Oryzias latipes: one gene and its partners. The protein of the gene in region 2 interacts with the protein of the main gene of each other region in a pairwise test. Links are inferred from orthologs where the notes say so. Each region holds a gene or a part of one and is shown on either strand. Other genes may lie near its edges.

Region 1 (4,771 bases), on a different chromosome or scaffold from region 2:
TTCGGCTCCACGCCGTTTTTCGGGGGTGGGGCAAAACCCTGAGAGAGGCTGGATCAGTTGGTGTGAAGTTCCTCAGAGGGTTGACGTTCTGCGGGGCTGAGTACTCACAGGCAGAGGGAACAGCTTTCCGTTGACCTTGATGCACAGACCGTTGGGGTAGTTGTCCTCCTGAGGACAGCTGGTCTCCGACAGGCAGAACCTGAGCACACAGCAGGAAGTCAGAAACTGAAATCTCTGCTCGGTTGTCACGTCATCAAAGTCGGCTTTCTCCATGGAGATCATATGATGGAACTAATCTGCAGAGGAAACGATGCTGCAGCCGAAGCGGAGGCCACAAGCCCGAACGCAGGCTCTGCAGTCCTGGTCTGGGAACTCAGAGAAATTAGACGAAGCGATTCCAGTCTTCTCTCATTTCCACACATGCTTGTCAGATAACCAGAACTCCCTTCAAGTAAAAGCGTTTTCAGCTAAAGGCTCTTCCTCACAGAGCGCTGCTACAGTTTCTGCTCCATCTGCAGACTCTGTGGGTGAGTGAAGATCCCAGCAGAACCTCTCCGAATCAGCTGTGATCCCCCTGAACTTCTGATCTGATTAGCTGTGATTGGCTGAAAGGAGTGCTTAATCCTGCAGATTTCTGATTCTGAACTGTGAATTGGACCAGAGGACCCCAATGGCAACATTTACCTGCAGATTATGATAAAAACCTGAAACTTCTTACCTCAGCTGGATCTGAACTAAGTAGTCCCTCCTTCCTCCAGGTAGGAAGTCCCTGAGGAGAGGAAGAACAATCAGTCACGGGGCTCTCAGTCACGTAGCCGATGTTCCAAAGATGACTCACCGCGATATGCAAACCTCCCGGACCTGCTGCGGCGTCAGGGCAAAGATGAAGTATTTCTCCTGGTGGTACCTCTGTGCAGCGCTTACTCCTGCAGACACACAACACGCCCTGTCAGCGAACGCCTGAACACCATCAAACCATGAAGCACGGAGGTGGTAGTGCCATGGTGGGATGTCTAAAAAATAATTCACTGTGAAGACAAAACCCTTTAGACGAAGTCAGAGCTCTGGAGTCACCAACAGAAAAGGGACTTCATTACGAGGTATGTGTGTGTGTGTGTGTGTGTGTGTGTGTGTGTGTTGGGGGGGTCACAGAGTCTAGGATTTAAGTTCCACAGTATATGGAACTAATCAGCTTTAAGAAGGTTGAAATAGGAAAACATCTGATCCAAGTTCAAAGGTGAAACACAAAGAAACGTTTGATTGTTTTGGATTTTTCAGACTAAAAAAAGCCACATAATTCCAAATTGAAAATGAAATCCCATAAAGTAACTGATCGGGAATAAAGAAACATTACTGAATTCCAGATGGAGAAAACAGAGAAAAGGGGTATTTTTTTTATATGACTATATAACCAAACATCAAACTCTGCTCTGACACGACTGCTACTGAACATCTGCTCTACAAAGTGGGACATAAAGTCACTGCTCTGAAACATTTGCTGTCAGCCAGGAACTGTTCAACTCTTTTGTGTTACCCATGAGTTACGCCTGGGAATTGACAGGCTGGTGCTGCCTACTGGGATTTAGAACTTGATGTTAAGTTTTCTTCTGAAACCAATAGCTCATCGTCCTGGTTTGGTCTCTGTGGAGTCTGACTGGAATAAAGATCAGAGCGGATCTCATCTGTCAGCCCTGCAAACATCACACACCCAGACTGGAGGGCTTGATGAGGACGTCCAGAACATCGTAGAAGGGGAGGGGTTTCATCTCCACATCAGGGTGGACGGGGGGAATGAGGGGAGAGGGCTGCTGCAGGTTCATGGCGATCTCTGCGTGGGGCCACACGTGATCCAACAGGTCCGCAGTACTGGGGTGCTTCCTGCTAAAACACAACAGTTACACAAAAACTACAACACAGTCTTACACAAGCCCTGAGGTGCTGAGGTGGGCTCCAGGACGGCCCCTAACACACCCAGGACCAATAGGACCAACCATTGGTGATGTGGGCACAGAAGCAAACCAGGTTATCTCCACCTGATGGTAAAATAAAGGTTAAAAAAGTGATAATATCCAGGGAGCAGCCAGTAAAGCGTCTAAAGCTGAGCCCATCTGCTGCAGCTGGAAGACTTCTACTGCATGACGACAGAATCCAGACATCTTGACTCTTTCTGCTAGAGTCGTCTCACATGATTCACTAATATAACACGGTACACGAATCGATCACAAAAGATGCAACTAACTTTTATCTAAATGGATACAATCTAGTCATCATTGAAAAATAAAAATGAAAATGCCTTTTAACAGAGAAACTCTTATTTTTTTTAGCAACAAAATGTCTTTGAAGCGACAGCTTTAAACATTAAAGCCTACGAGTCTGAGTCTTTTAGAACCTTTTTCCTATGGTTAAAAAAAGGTGTCATATCAATTTGTTCAGGTATGAAGGTATTCAGCTCAACAGGAAGAGTAACAGACAAAGAAACCGATTTTTTGTTTTACTCCCTGATAGATTTTAGAGCTTGGTCATTTCTAACTCCATCAATGTTTTAAGCATTTCTCTATGGATTACATCCCTACTAGAAGCACAGTTCTCTCTGTTCTGTAAACTGTCATCATTTTCTTACAACTCTATAAACAAGAAACAAACACCCTATAACCAGGCTGCAAATCTTCACTAGTAGATAAATCTGCTTTAGACAAGTCAATAAGCAAAGTAAGTAAACTCCTGAGGGTATAAAAAGCTCTTTAAAGAATTAAGAGTGCAAAAGTAACTACAAAAGAGCCTGTGAACAGGTAACCAATCACTGAACCAGTCTGTAAGCAGTCAGTAAAAGCTGAATGACCAGTCTGTTCAAAAAAACAAATATAAAAATAAAAAATAAGTCAATTCCGGAACAAAACCTAAAGAATAAAGGCAACTGAAGGGTGACAATCACCCCAAAAGGTCCGTAAAGCCCCAGTGTTCAAGTTGTAAACAGAGTCAGAACAGTTGTAGGTTTAACCACAATAACCAGCCGGTAAATAGTCAGATAAAGAACCAAAAAACAGGAAATAAGCCTTCTATAACCAGGCTCTAAGCAGTCAAACAACCAGTCTGTAAACATCCAGTTCATAAAATACAAAAACCAAACATTCGGTGGGAGCCCAGCTGTTAGCGTGTTAGCTTGCAGGCTAACAGCTGCTCACTGGGCTCCTCGCGCCTTAAGCTCGGGGTCAGACGGGGTTTCTGCTTTGGTTCGGTTTGAGTCCATCTGTTCTGGTCGGTGCCGTCCGAGCTGTAAGTCCACATGAGACGTTGTTTTTGTTTTTTTCCATTCCTTTTTTGTTGCTTACCTAAAAATCCCCGCTCCCCGCCGCCATCTTCGACTTCCTGTCACATACTGCACGACGTAACGACGCCCTTCTGACGTCATGCGTCATTTGATTTCTGAACGGGGACCTCTTAGCAGAGGCGGGTAAAATCGAAAAAACATGTTCTAAAGAGAGAATTGTTTCACTTTAAAATATTTTTGATTAAGTAGGATTAAAGAAAAAAGAAACAATGATCCTAACGATTATTTGATTAAGAGTAAATATATAAATTATGTTAAAGCTACCAAACTATTAAGTAACAGAGCAAACCTGATTCTAGAATGAAACACTGAGGAACTCCATCCAGGCCTGTATGTCTGCATGTTTTCTATATTTCAACCCCCTACTTACAGATGATTACCTGGATCAGGTGTGTTCAAAGCATCCAGGAATGCAGCCCCTGGTCGGGTAAAAAGATAAATAAAAATGTGAAAATTCTGACGCTGCTGCCTCAAAGGCTCAGTACTGTGTGTGTTTAATCTAACTTGCAGAGCTCAGCCTGGGGTCATACTCAGTGAAGCGTCATTTTAGGGGTCACGAGGGTCAACCACTTACAGGTTAACCCGTTAGTCAGGCTAAACTTCTTTTCTGAAGCTGCTAGGCTTTGTCCAAATGTGAACTAATGTCTGAAGCAGTAAATATGCGTTTTCTGAAACGACAAATCCCATCTCTCCATGTAGAAATTTGATGGATTAGACTGGGTTTGGTGGTCGGCATGGGAATGGGAAATCTGGCAGAATTGTGGCAAGTTTGGTGGAGGGAGGATTATAATGCGGGACTAGCATCTTCCTGTTCCAACATGACAGCAAACCAAAGAAGGTGGACGTGGATGAAGGTTTGGTGTGGAAGAAGCTGACGGCTCCCTAGAACCCTGACAGAACGAACGCCTTTGGGGTCACGGCGGACCGTGAGCAGACCTTCTCATCAAACACCAGAGTCTTTAACGTCAAAATCTGACATTGCAAATCAACTTCCATGAGAACCAATATTCTCAATAAAATTGTAACCTGTGGAAAGTTTAAGCTGTTTTTTGGTGCAAAAACCAAAAACAGGTATATGTCAGTAAAACATCCACATGTGAAGGTAGAGGGAGAACACTTAAACACCCTTTTAAGGACCCTCATCCTTTTGAAACATGAGCTGGGGTTTCGGGGCAACAGTAGAGATTTTGAGGACGCTGTTCTTTTAGATCCAGCACAGAAAAAGCTGGACCTCTTGTCAGAAAAGGATGGTCTTCAGGTCAGCTGACTGAATAATGAACACAGCAGAGGTCAGTCAGAGCCTCTGTTTTGGAATTTCTTTAGGGGATAACTTTTCTTTTTTTTAAATGGGTCTAAAGCAGGAGACTTTAGTGGATCTTTTTCAGTTTTGCAATTTCTGAAAATCAGGCAGGAAGATGTCAACTTGTGTCCTAAACCAAGGCT
Region 2 (5,381 bases):
GAACCTGTCATCAGAACACCAATGCAGAAGTAAACAGTGTTACATACGCCACCTCCTCCAGATGAAACGTCCCGTTATAACATATAACAATAAAGAGGAATGAAAATAGTCTGTTATATTAGCATTAGAACGTTGAAAATGCCAGAAAGTGCTCCTCCTCAGACGGAAGTGTCACACAAACGTAGAGATCTGATCTTTAATGGAGGAAGAAAGGATTCAGGTGGACAGCTGCAGGGATACTGTTGAACCTGCGAAATAACTTCTCTTTTTTTCTCTCTGACTGTGGTCGGAAACGCAGGGGAGATTTTCTCCAGGGCCGAAGGCGGATCCTCGTTTGGGATTCACTTTCCCGCTCGGATCGTCAGCCTCCAGAGCGAGTTAATAAGACAAAATACTTCTTCTGGGGAGGGACATCATCTTTTTATTAAGGTTCTCAGTCTCGATCACACAATATAGACGCAAACTCTCCCGCTCCGCGCTCTCACCCCCCTCTTTCGCCCGTGCTCTCACACATGCACGCGGGGTCTCCAACACACACACAGGCACGCACACACACGCGCGCGCGCGCACACTCCATAACTGTCGCCGTCGGCTTCATCGGGCTGCAGAGATCCTCCAAACCACCAATCAAAAAATAAAACATTAATAAATCATAAATCAAACAACTAAACTTCCAGACATTTGGAACGTTATCAATAAACATTCAGCTCACCTGTTCAACTAAGTTTAGTCAGTCTGCTCTGCTGCTTTGCAGCGTTCACTTGTTGCTGCTGCTGCCCTGTATGCTCACTTCCACTTTAATCTCGTAAAAATACAATTTTTTTCTCATAAATTTACGGTTTAAAATTTCATAATTTTACTTTTTTTGGTGGCCCTAAAATTCTGTCGTACCGAATAGTTTGAATCTGCCAGGCTTTTATTTTTTCCCCGGAAAAAAAGTCCTCACTTCCGTTGTGCTGAGCTTAATGCTAATGCTGCGGTTATGTCGTCGCGCTTCGGGTAATGCCGTTGCGCTGTCTCTTAATGCCGTTGTGCTTCGGGTAATGCCGTTGCGCTGTCTCTTAATGCCGTTGTGCTTCGGGTAATTTCGTCTTGCTTCGGGTAATGCCGTTGCGTTTTTCCATTTGTATGTAGTGTGAGCCCTGTCGGCCACCGTAGTAATCATGTGAAACGATACATTCACAAACAAAAGCCACAACGAAAGTCTGAGATGAAAATGGGATGACTGGAAGTGACAATTTTCCATCTACCAAACTGAACCTTTCTTCTTTTGCAGATAAATAAATTCTCATACACCCTAGGCTTTAATCATATGTGTTTTAAATATGTTCTTGTAGTATTTTTCTGATGATGGAGAACATATATATACATGTATATAAAGAAAGTTAAGCTCACAATTGCATTGCTGAGTATTTCTTTATGCAAATCATTGTGAATCAGGGGCAGTCGAAAAAAATGCTGTTGGAAGAAGGTCTTCATGTGATGTAGAAAATATGCTGTCACAGTCTCCCAGCTCTGCTCCATTCTGATCATCCACTGTCAGACAAATAGATCCGTGAACGTCTGTTTTCTTCGTCTGAGCTGGAATCTGGATCTAAACTGTAAACGATAATGCTGCCAATTTTGTTGCACCGCTAATGTTAGGATGGGATTGTGAAGGGCTGGAAGCTAGTGGGACAGTGTATAAACAGATGGGCCTACTACTCAGGAGTAAATTTCTAATGAACTCCTGCCGCTCTCTGCAGAAACTGTTCTAGAAAACGACAGATTGTTTTGATGTTTTATTTTATTTTTTTGTGCCTAAAAATGGCATAATCATGATTAAAAGACCACTGGGAACGCTTTGGAAAAAGATCAAAAGATGAATAAAGTGGGTCTTAAATGACCAAACATTGATGCAGTCAGAATAAATTAGGTTCGACTTGCCAGACATTTCTGTTGATTTTGGCGAATGAAACTCAGAATTGTATTTTCCGATTTTAAATTCGTAAGTGAATTCTGGGATATTAGATTACATAACGTTTTATTACACAGACATTTTCTGTAAAACTAATATTAACTTTCTCTCAAAATCGACCATCGAAACCTCGTCCTGGATCGATTGGTTACGTCTGTTTATGATGACGTCTCGTCGCATTCGAAGTGACGTCAGACTATTATGGCGGCCTCGGTGGCTTCACGTGAGCTTTTCACAGACGCGGTTCGGGCGGTTCTTCACAGCTGGCCGGTACTACAGGTGAGCTTCGAACCGGGTGAGGATTCAGATCCACAGAACCTGTCCCGGTTCTCCGCTGCGGTCCAGATGAGTCAACTTTATCTTGACCCGGTTTGGGGTGTTCCGCTGGGAAGGTGGACCTATTGTTTGGATCTGGTCCCAGTCGGGTTCGACAAATCCTCCGTTTGTTTGTTAGATTGCGGTGGAGAACGGGTTCGGGGGCGCGTTCGGCCCACAGAAGGCGGACTGGATGGTGGACGTGGTGCAGCAGTATTTCCATGACAACGGTTAGTAACCATGGCAATGTTTTTGTGCCTACATTTGTTTGTTTTTCTGTTTGTTTGTTTTTGTGTGTGTCTGTGTATCTGTTTGTGTGTACATTTGTTTGTGTGTACATCTGTTTGTGTGTGTGTGTACCTGTGTTTGCTGTGTGCCCACATTTGTTTGTGTGTTTCTAGCTGACCTGCAGCAGTATGAGGTGGAGGACTACCTGGCTGTGCTCCTTGATCAAGAGTTTGATACTGTCGTGGATGACGGGAGCTTGCCTCAGGTACCACGTGCACGCTCACGTGGACACACACATGCATGTCCTGGGGGTCATTCCAGGGGGGTATTCCAGGAAGCATGTTTAAATTAGCCAGACTTTAAGCCTGAACTCTGGCTGAAATCCGCCTGAACTTCCTTACTCTGGATATGTCGGTTCCAAAAGACCAGATATGAGTTAGCGTAATTACGCTCCACTTGGTAACCCTGGGTTAATGCACGCGCACAGCAGGTACATAAAGACATTCTCAATAGATCGCCGATTTCTGGAGTCACCATGGAAACGCGTGGAGAAAAAAAAGAAAGAAAAGAAAGCGCTATACTTCAGTGAGACGGAGTCTGAGGTTTTAATGATGGCGTATGAAGATTATACGTCCATCAAAAAAGTAATACGGCTGCAACATCAAAAGAGTTTCTGCTTGTAGTAGAAGAACAGACAAAGTAAACGCACGAGTTTCTGATCTTATTTCCATTTTCCTTGTGACGCATATATATATATATATATATATAAAACCTATCCAATTTTGCCAACATAAAGGAATTACTTCTATTGGTAACAAATAATTGAGTTAAATTTATTCAACCTAATTTCTTACATCTATAAAACTCAATAATTTTTTATACAACTCAGATTTACGTATTTATCCAACTAAATTTCATATTACTCCAATTCAATCAATCTTTTTTCCATCTAAATTAATTATATTTCTTGAACTCTCAAATGTCTAAGTTTGAGCCGGCAGATATGCTCATTTGTATAACATTAAAAAGGACGGGGGGAAAAATGCGCGGAGTGCAAAAATTGTTTAAATAATTTTCCGTCATTGTCATTACAACGCTAGACCGTAGGGCTGCTATATAAACTCATTATCCTCTCCTTCACTCTCACTCATGGTGCAAAGACGTAAGCTTAGTAGGACAAAATAACTCGGCAAAACACAGTAAAACAACTAAACACATTCTGTCAAAAACACACACTTAAACCCAAATCCGTCCAGAGAGGCAAAGGGAATGATATCCCACAATCCCTTGCGGTGCCGATCTAACAGCAGCACCAAAGTTACACCTACTTAATAGAATTAATTTGAATGAAAGGAAAATAACTGTATGAAAACTATGTGTTATTTTTAATCTGTCTTAAAAAAAAAAGCTTTATCTTAACTGAAGCAAATAATTAAGTTAGCTCAAAGTAAAAAAGTTTATTTTTCCAACATCCATATGTGGTCTTATCACCCTCTCATGGTGGAAAAAGTATTATCTGAGCTTCTTCATCCACTAAATCATCTTCAAATGAACACGCCATGCTGCTTCACCTTTCTGAAAACAAACTAACCTTCAACTAAACCTGCTCCAGACCAGGTTATGTTCAGAGCATGAGTTCCCATGGCAACTTGACATACCCTGAAACATACCTCCATTTCCGGAACCGAAAGCTGAGGTTATCAACTTCCTTAGCCTCAAACTTACCGTGAGAGCTAGAATAACCTGCTTTCTGGAATACCCCCCAGATATGAGTTGGCGTAATTACGTTTGACTTGGTAACCCTGGGTTAATGCACGTGCACGTCAAGTACATAAAGACATTCTCAATGGATCGCCGATTTTTGGAGTCACCATGGAAATGCGTGGAGAAAAAAAGAGAGAGAGCTATACTTCAGTGAGACGGAGTCTGAGATTTAAATGACGGCGTATGAAGATTATGCTTCCATCAAAAAAGTAACACAGCTGCATCATCATCAAAAGAGAGAGTTTTTGCTTGTTGTAGAAGAACAGAGAAAGTAAACGCACGAGTTTCTGATCTTATTTCCATTTTCCTTGTGACGCATATATACAGTGAGGTCAATAAGTATTTGATCACCCTGTGATTTAGCAATTTCTCCCACTTAGAAAACATGGAGGGGTCTAAAAGTTTCATCATGTACGATTTTTTTAAACGATTTATTTGTATATTACTGTGACAAATAAGTATTTGATCACTTGAGTTGAATAACCTTATTATTTGGTGCAGAAGCCTTTGTTAACAATTACAGAGGTCAAACGGTTCCTGTAGTTCTTCACTAGGTCTCTACATACTTCAGCAGCTATTTTGGCCCACTCCTCCATACAGATCTTCTCTAGATCTGTCAGGGTTCGGGGCTGTCGCTGAGCAACACAGAGTTTCAGCTCCCTCCAAAGATTCTCTATTAGATTTAGGTCTGGAGACTGGCTAGGCCACTCCAGAACCTTGATATGCTTCTTACAGAGCCACTCCTTGGTTTTCTTGGCTGTGTGCTTCGGGTCATTGTCACGCTGAAAGACCCAGCCACGACCCATCTTCAACGCTCTGACAGAGGTCAGGAGGTTTTTGCCCAAAATCTCACAATACAAATCCCCCTTCATCCTCTCCTTAATACAGTGCAGTCGTCCTGTCCCTTGCGCAGAAAAACACCCCCAGAGCATGAAGCTTCCACCCCCGTGCTTCACTGTAGGTATGGTGTTCTTGGGATGATGCTCCTCCTTCTTCCTCCTCCAAACACACCGAATGGAGTTAAGACCAAAAAGTTCTATTTTGTTCTCATCTGACCACAAGTCTTTCTCCCAAGACTCCTCTGGCTCATCAAGATGGTCATTGGCAAACTTCAGAC
Region 3 (4,868 bases), on a different chromosome or scaffold from region 2:
CTTTTTTTTCCTACTCCTGATTTACAACGATTTGAATAAAGAAATACTCAGAAATGCAATTCTGAACTTAAATTTATTTACATATGTCCTCCATCATCAGTAAAATGCTACAAAAGCATGTTAAAAACACCCAAAACACAATTTTCAATGAAGGGGGTCTTTAATTTATCAAAAATATTCTTATATGCTAAAGAGCCTAACTACGACGGAGTATTAGGGCCACCAAAAAAAAAAAAAAATTAGAGCCACCAAAAAAAATAATAGTAAAATTACGAGATTTTATCTCGTAAATTTAGGAGATAAAAACTCGTAAATTTAGGAGATAAAAACTCGTAAATTTAGGAGAAAAAAAGTCGTAATTTTAGGAGATTACAGTGGAAGTGAGCATGCAGAGCAGCAGGTGAACGCCGTGCAGCAGCAGAGCAGACTGACTAAACTTTGTTGAACAGGTGAGCTGAATGTTTATTGATAACGTTCCAAATGTCTGGAAGGTCATTTGTTTGATTTACGATTCATTAAAGTTTTATTTATTGATGGTTGGTTTGCAGGATCTCTGCAGCCCGATGAAGCCGTCGTCGGTGTCCCTGCAGCTGTTCGCTTGAATCCTTTCTTCCTCCACCAAAGACAAGACTCTACGTCTGTGTGACGCTTCCGTCACACAAAAGGAGGAGCACTTTTTTTTGGCATTTTCAACGTTCCAAAGCTAATATAAAACACTATTTTCATTCCTCTTTATTGTTTTATGCTGAAACGGGACATTTCATCTGCAGGAGGGGGCGTTTGTAACACTGTTTACTTCCGCATTGGTGTTGGGATGACAGGTTCATGACGTAATGAGACAAATGAACTTCAGAAAATGTGAATGAAAAGGAGAATAAAGGCTGCAGCGATCCTCTACACCCAAACGTGTCTCTGAGCTCCTTATTTTACATATTAAACTCCGCTTTACTGACACTGAACCCCGGAAAGACTGCTACACGGAAAATGATCTGATTTTGAGTCGCCAAAAGGTTCAGAATCTCTTTGTTTTAAACCTATAATAATCCGGAAATGAAGCTTCACAAAAGGCTCCACATACTTCATCTTCAAGCTAGGTTCCGATAAACGGACAACTATAGTGTTTTTTCCTTAATCTACGACTTTTTTCTCGTAAATTTATGAGATTTTAAGTCGTAAATTTATGAGATAAAAAGTCGTAAATTTACGAGTTTTTATCTCCTAAATTTACGAGATAAAATCTCGTAATTTCACTTTTTTTTTTTTTTGGTGGCTCTAATTTTTTTTTTTTTGGTGGCCCTAATACTCCGTCGTACCTAACTAAGTTATGTTAATAAAGTTTAAAATCGAGAAATAATACGACATTTACTGTATTTTAAACCACCCGAAATGGCCATAAATTCACTTCTTTTGATAAAAAAAAGAAAAGAGAGAAATTTTCACGCGTGTTTATGAACACCGGAGATCCTCGGTGGGCGGGGCGAAGAGCGGGCCTTTTCAGGCGGTTCGTCCTCTTCCGGTCCTCTTTCCATCTTCCCGTTCAACATGGTGAGTCTCTGTCACTTCTGGCGAATTTATTCAACGAAGTATATCGATTTACCACTTCATTCCGATACAAATGTGTATTTTACTAGATATTATAAAAACAGGCGCGGTCTATTAACACTTGACTAAGTTGTAAATGAGCGAACGATGGGTAGAAATCCGTGTCGGGCCTAATGCTAGCTGTTAGCAGGCTAACCGTTTGGTGCATGTGTTCCGGAGAGCTAGCATAGCTGTTGCTAAGGTGTGCTCATTTAGGTCAGACTGCGAGCATTCAGATGTTATAAACGGTCAGTGTAATAGTGACGCAGTCGTCCAGCTTTTTCGTGTAAATGTGGAAACACCAAAACGCTCCTAAACATCGCCATCGCGGGTCTCCGCTTTACTCCGCAGAGACCCAGCGGTCCTTTCACCAAAGGCATTTATTAAGAAATATTTCCCATTTAGGTAAAGGTACTTTTGAATTGTATAGTATATGTGCTCGAGAAATCTATATTTCCATCATCTGGGACCATTTCAGTTTCTCACGGTAATCTAAACTATCCTTGACCACCCAAAAAGAACAGGAAGCAGATTGGAGTAAAAAATAATATTTTATTGCTGTTACTATTAGATTCAGTAGGGACCACAAGGCACACATTTCTAAGGTCCAGAGATAAATGTTGGTGGTGAAACAAAGGATAATTTCCAATTCTGAACAAAGAAATACACAAACTAGCCCAATAGACCTAAAATTGAGCAAGTTATTAATATTTTATGTCTAGCTGATCGCCTTTTGTTTTGTGGCTAGTAAACAATGGGAAAACTTGGTAATCACAGCTAGACGCATCAAGACTTTTTGGTGTTTTTTAATGCTACATCTCTCCTATCTGTGCTCTAAACCCCATCAATTTCTAATATGACATGGTAAAAGGGATGCTGAAGGTTTTAATATTTTTTTTAGAAAATTGTTCATGTAACGTTATAACATGCTCCTCTGGCTGCAGCTTATTATGCCGTATTAAGGGCTTGAACCCGTGACCGCTCCTTACTGCGCTTATTTACAATGTTCGTCATGATGTTATGTGTAAGACTTGGGTCTGCAACGACGAATGACGCACATTTCCTCAGTGTTTAGTGGTGGTTTTGGGGACCTTATTTATCGTGTACCTTTCATGAAGCTGTGAAATGGAACCAAAGTTGTGAAAAATTTGCAGTTGGCTCACAAATGTCCACTAAGTCCACTTTACCTTTTTTTTAAATTTGAAATCAAAATATAAATTATCCCAGTAAGCACCGCAGCGCATATTTTAACACCGTTTATTTTCCAATGTGAAAGCCAAGTTTTTCAATGGTGACACAAACGGCGTGCGCAGTGACACCCTTTGCGGTCCCTAGATTCAGCAGGACTTCCACACAATATTAACTCTCAAACGTTCAACTATTCTTTTAAACATTTACATTTGTTGTTTTATAACTTTCTTCTGTCGTTGTTTTATTCGTATGTTAGCCACTTTCTCTACTCCAGAATTGGTTTTAAACGTAGGAAACGACGAAGCTTAGCTTTTGCAGCTGTTAATAAAAAATAAAATAAAAATAGTCGATGATGACCTCTTTCTATTTGACAGACTAAGAAGAGAAGGAATAACGGACGTGCCAAGAAGGGCCGTGGGCATGTGCAGCCCATCCGCTGCACCAACTGCGCCCGCTGTGTTCCAAAGGACAAAGCCATCAAGAAGTTTGTCATCAGGAACATAGTGGAGGCAGCAGCTGTGAGGGACATCTCAGAGGCCAGCGTCTTTGACTGTAAGGAAGTGAAAGCAGCTTTTGTTGGGTTTTTAGGAAACTGTAGTGTTTACAACTTAACAAGAACTAGTTCTGTCTGGGCATCGACCTTTCTGTTTAGTAAGTTCGGTGTTATCATGACTGCATGCCAAACATTTGGCCACTGATGGCAGCTTATAGACTGGATGTACTGAAAGGGATGCTTAAGTTTAAATGGGATCGTTTCATGTCTCAGAAGTTTCTTTCTAGTTGGTTGTCATCTGAGGAATCTTTTTTTCCTGCAGCGTATGTCCTTCCCAAGCTCTATGTGAAGCTGCACTATTGTGTCAGCTGTGCCATCCACAGTAAAGTGGTGAGAAACCGCTCTCGTGAGGCCAGAAAAGACCGCACCCCGCCGCCCAGATTCAGGCCGGCTGTAAGTACGACCGAAGCAGCTTCACTGAAATTCAGCGCTGTTGCCATACAGCAAAACATGAACGCGTGACTGACGTTAGACGTCTAAGTTCACTTTTTGTCTTTCCAACAGGCCGGCGCACCAAGAGCTCCTCCAAAGCCCATGTGAAGCAGAGTTTTGAGATGCTGTCCATCTGACAAAGAAATAAACAGATCCTGACAAACATGTGGTCGCGGTCATTGATGTGGTTGTTTTGGGGGCCTAAGCTCACAGTTTTATTTAGAATAGTCGCACTAAACAAAGCATTCCATAGAATAGTAGATCAGATTAAAGAAGTGGACATTTGAACAATGCACTGAAAAGGAGAGGATGGGAGATAACGTGTTGAACAGAAGTTATTTTTTGCTTATTAGGACATATTTGCTGTTCAACACAAAAGTAACAAGTCAAACCAAACATCTGCAGATCCGTCCTTCAGTAGACCTGTGGAGGAAGTCTTCACTGCAGCTACATGTGTTCAGAGGATTTCATCTGAGCAGTGACCCAAATCTGTTTGAGATTCTCAATGTTTTATCTAATTGAGCTTAAGTTTAGGCATTTGATGGAGAACACCACAATCTGTGGCTTTTCTAAGGGAGAACTTAAATCAGTGTAATGCCAGTGTCTGCAACCTTAGGCTCTGCAGGCATGTATTCCCCTTTTTTTTAGCTCCACGTCTTAACAAACGAAACAAGTGTCATTTGTTCACCAATTTAATTTTAGTCAGGTTTGTGACCGAGGTGTTTCTGGATCAGTGAAATAAACAGGTTTACACATCACTGCTACTGCTGGCACTACCCCAAAAGGCTTTATATAAACCAGAGTACACAGATTTCAAAGCCTGGCTAAAGCTTTGGTAAAATATTGGATTTTCTGTAAACTGTTGAGTATGATTGGGGAAAGTTTCAAGCACATGTTCATGTTAACAGTAATAGAGGACAAAGCCACCGTAACCCTTGTTCTATCCTAGGCACTTTAACATTGGGAGTGGGGTCATCTAGACCCACTAGACAGTGCTCTGAAACTTTTTTATTCAATGATTTGTGATCTTCACTGGTGTCCATGGATTACATGAAATCTTTCCACCTTTGTCATGGTAGGGAGAACATGTCAATGTAGGGGTGGGGTCATC

What was found.
Region 1: the proteins of tsr2 (region 2) and E3 SUMO-protein ligase PIAS2 interact in binary tests that used the Homo sapiens proteins (3 or more experiments, as listed by UniProt). The two-hybrid records come from large-scale screens. The link is inferred for Oryzias latipes from reciprocal best matches to the Homo sapiens genes TSR2 and PIAS2.
Region 3: the proteins of tsr2 (region 2) and rps26 interact in binary tests that used the Homo sapiens proteins (3 or more experiments, as listed by UniProt). The two-hybrid records come from large-scale screens. The link is inferred for Oryzias latipes from reciprocal best matches to the Homo sapiens genes TSR2 and RPS26.

The regions. Positions count from the first base shown.
Region 1 is NC_019867.2:30,477,048-30,481,818, reverse strand, and holds the start of E3 SUMO-protein ligase PIAS2, read right to left. Parts: upstream 3,425-4,771; 5' UTR 3,410-3,424; coding exon 3,330-3,409; intron 2,029-3,329; exon of another isoform or gene 1,992-2,028; intron 1,882-1,991; coding exon 1,709-1,881; intron 927-1,708; coding exon 839-926; intron 770-838; coding exon 719-769; intron 200-718; coding exon 109-199; intron 39-108; coding exon 1-38. UniProt on the Homo sapiens protein: Functions as an E3-type small ubiquitin-like modifier (SUMO) ligase, stabilizing the interaction between UBE2I and the substrate, and as a SUMO-tethering factor.
Region 2 is NC_019865.2:30,436,610-30,441,990, reverse strand, and holds the start of tsr2 (pre-rRNA-processing protein TSR2 homolog), read left to right. Parts: upstream 1-2,112; 5' UTR 2,113-2,158; coding exon 2,159-2,236; intron 2,237-2,411; coding exon 2,412-2,502; intron 2,503-2,673; coding exon 2,674-2,765; intron 2,766-5,381. UniProt on the Homo sapiens protein: May be involved in 20S pre-rRNA processing.
Region 3 is NC_019863.2:4,001,613-4,006,480, forward strand, and holds rps26 (40S ribosomal protein S26), read left to right. Parts: upstream 1-1,444; 5' UTR 1,445-1,542; coding exon 1,543-1,545; intron 1,546-3,146; coding exon 3,147-3,324; intron 3,325-3,587; coding exon 3,588-3,718; intron 3,719-3,829; coding exon 3,830-3,865; 3' UTR 3,866-3,922; downstream 3,923-4,868.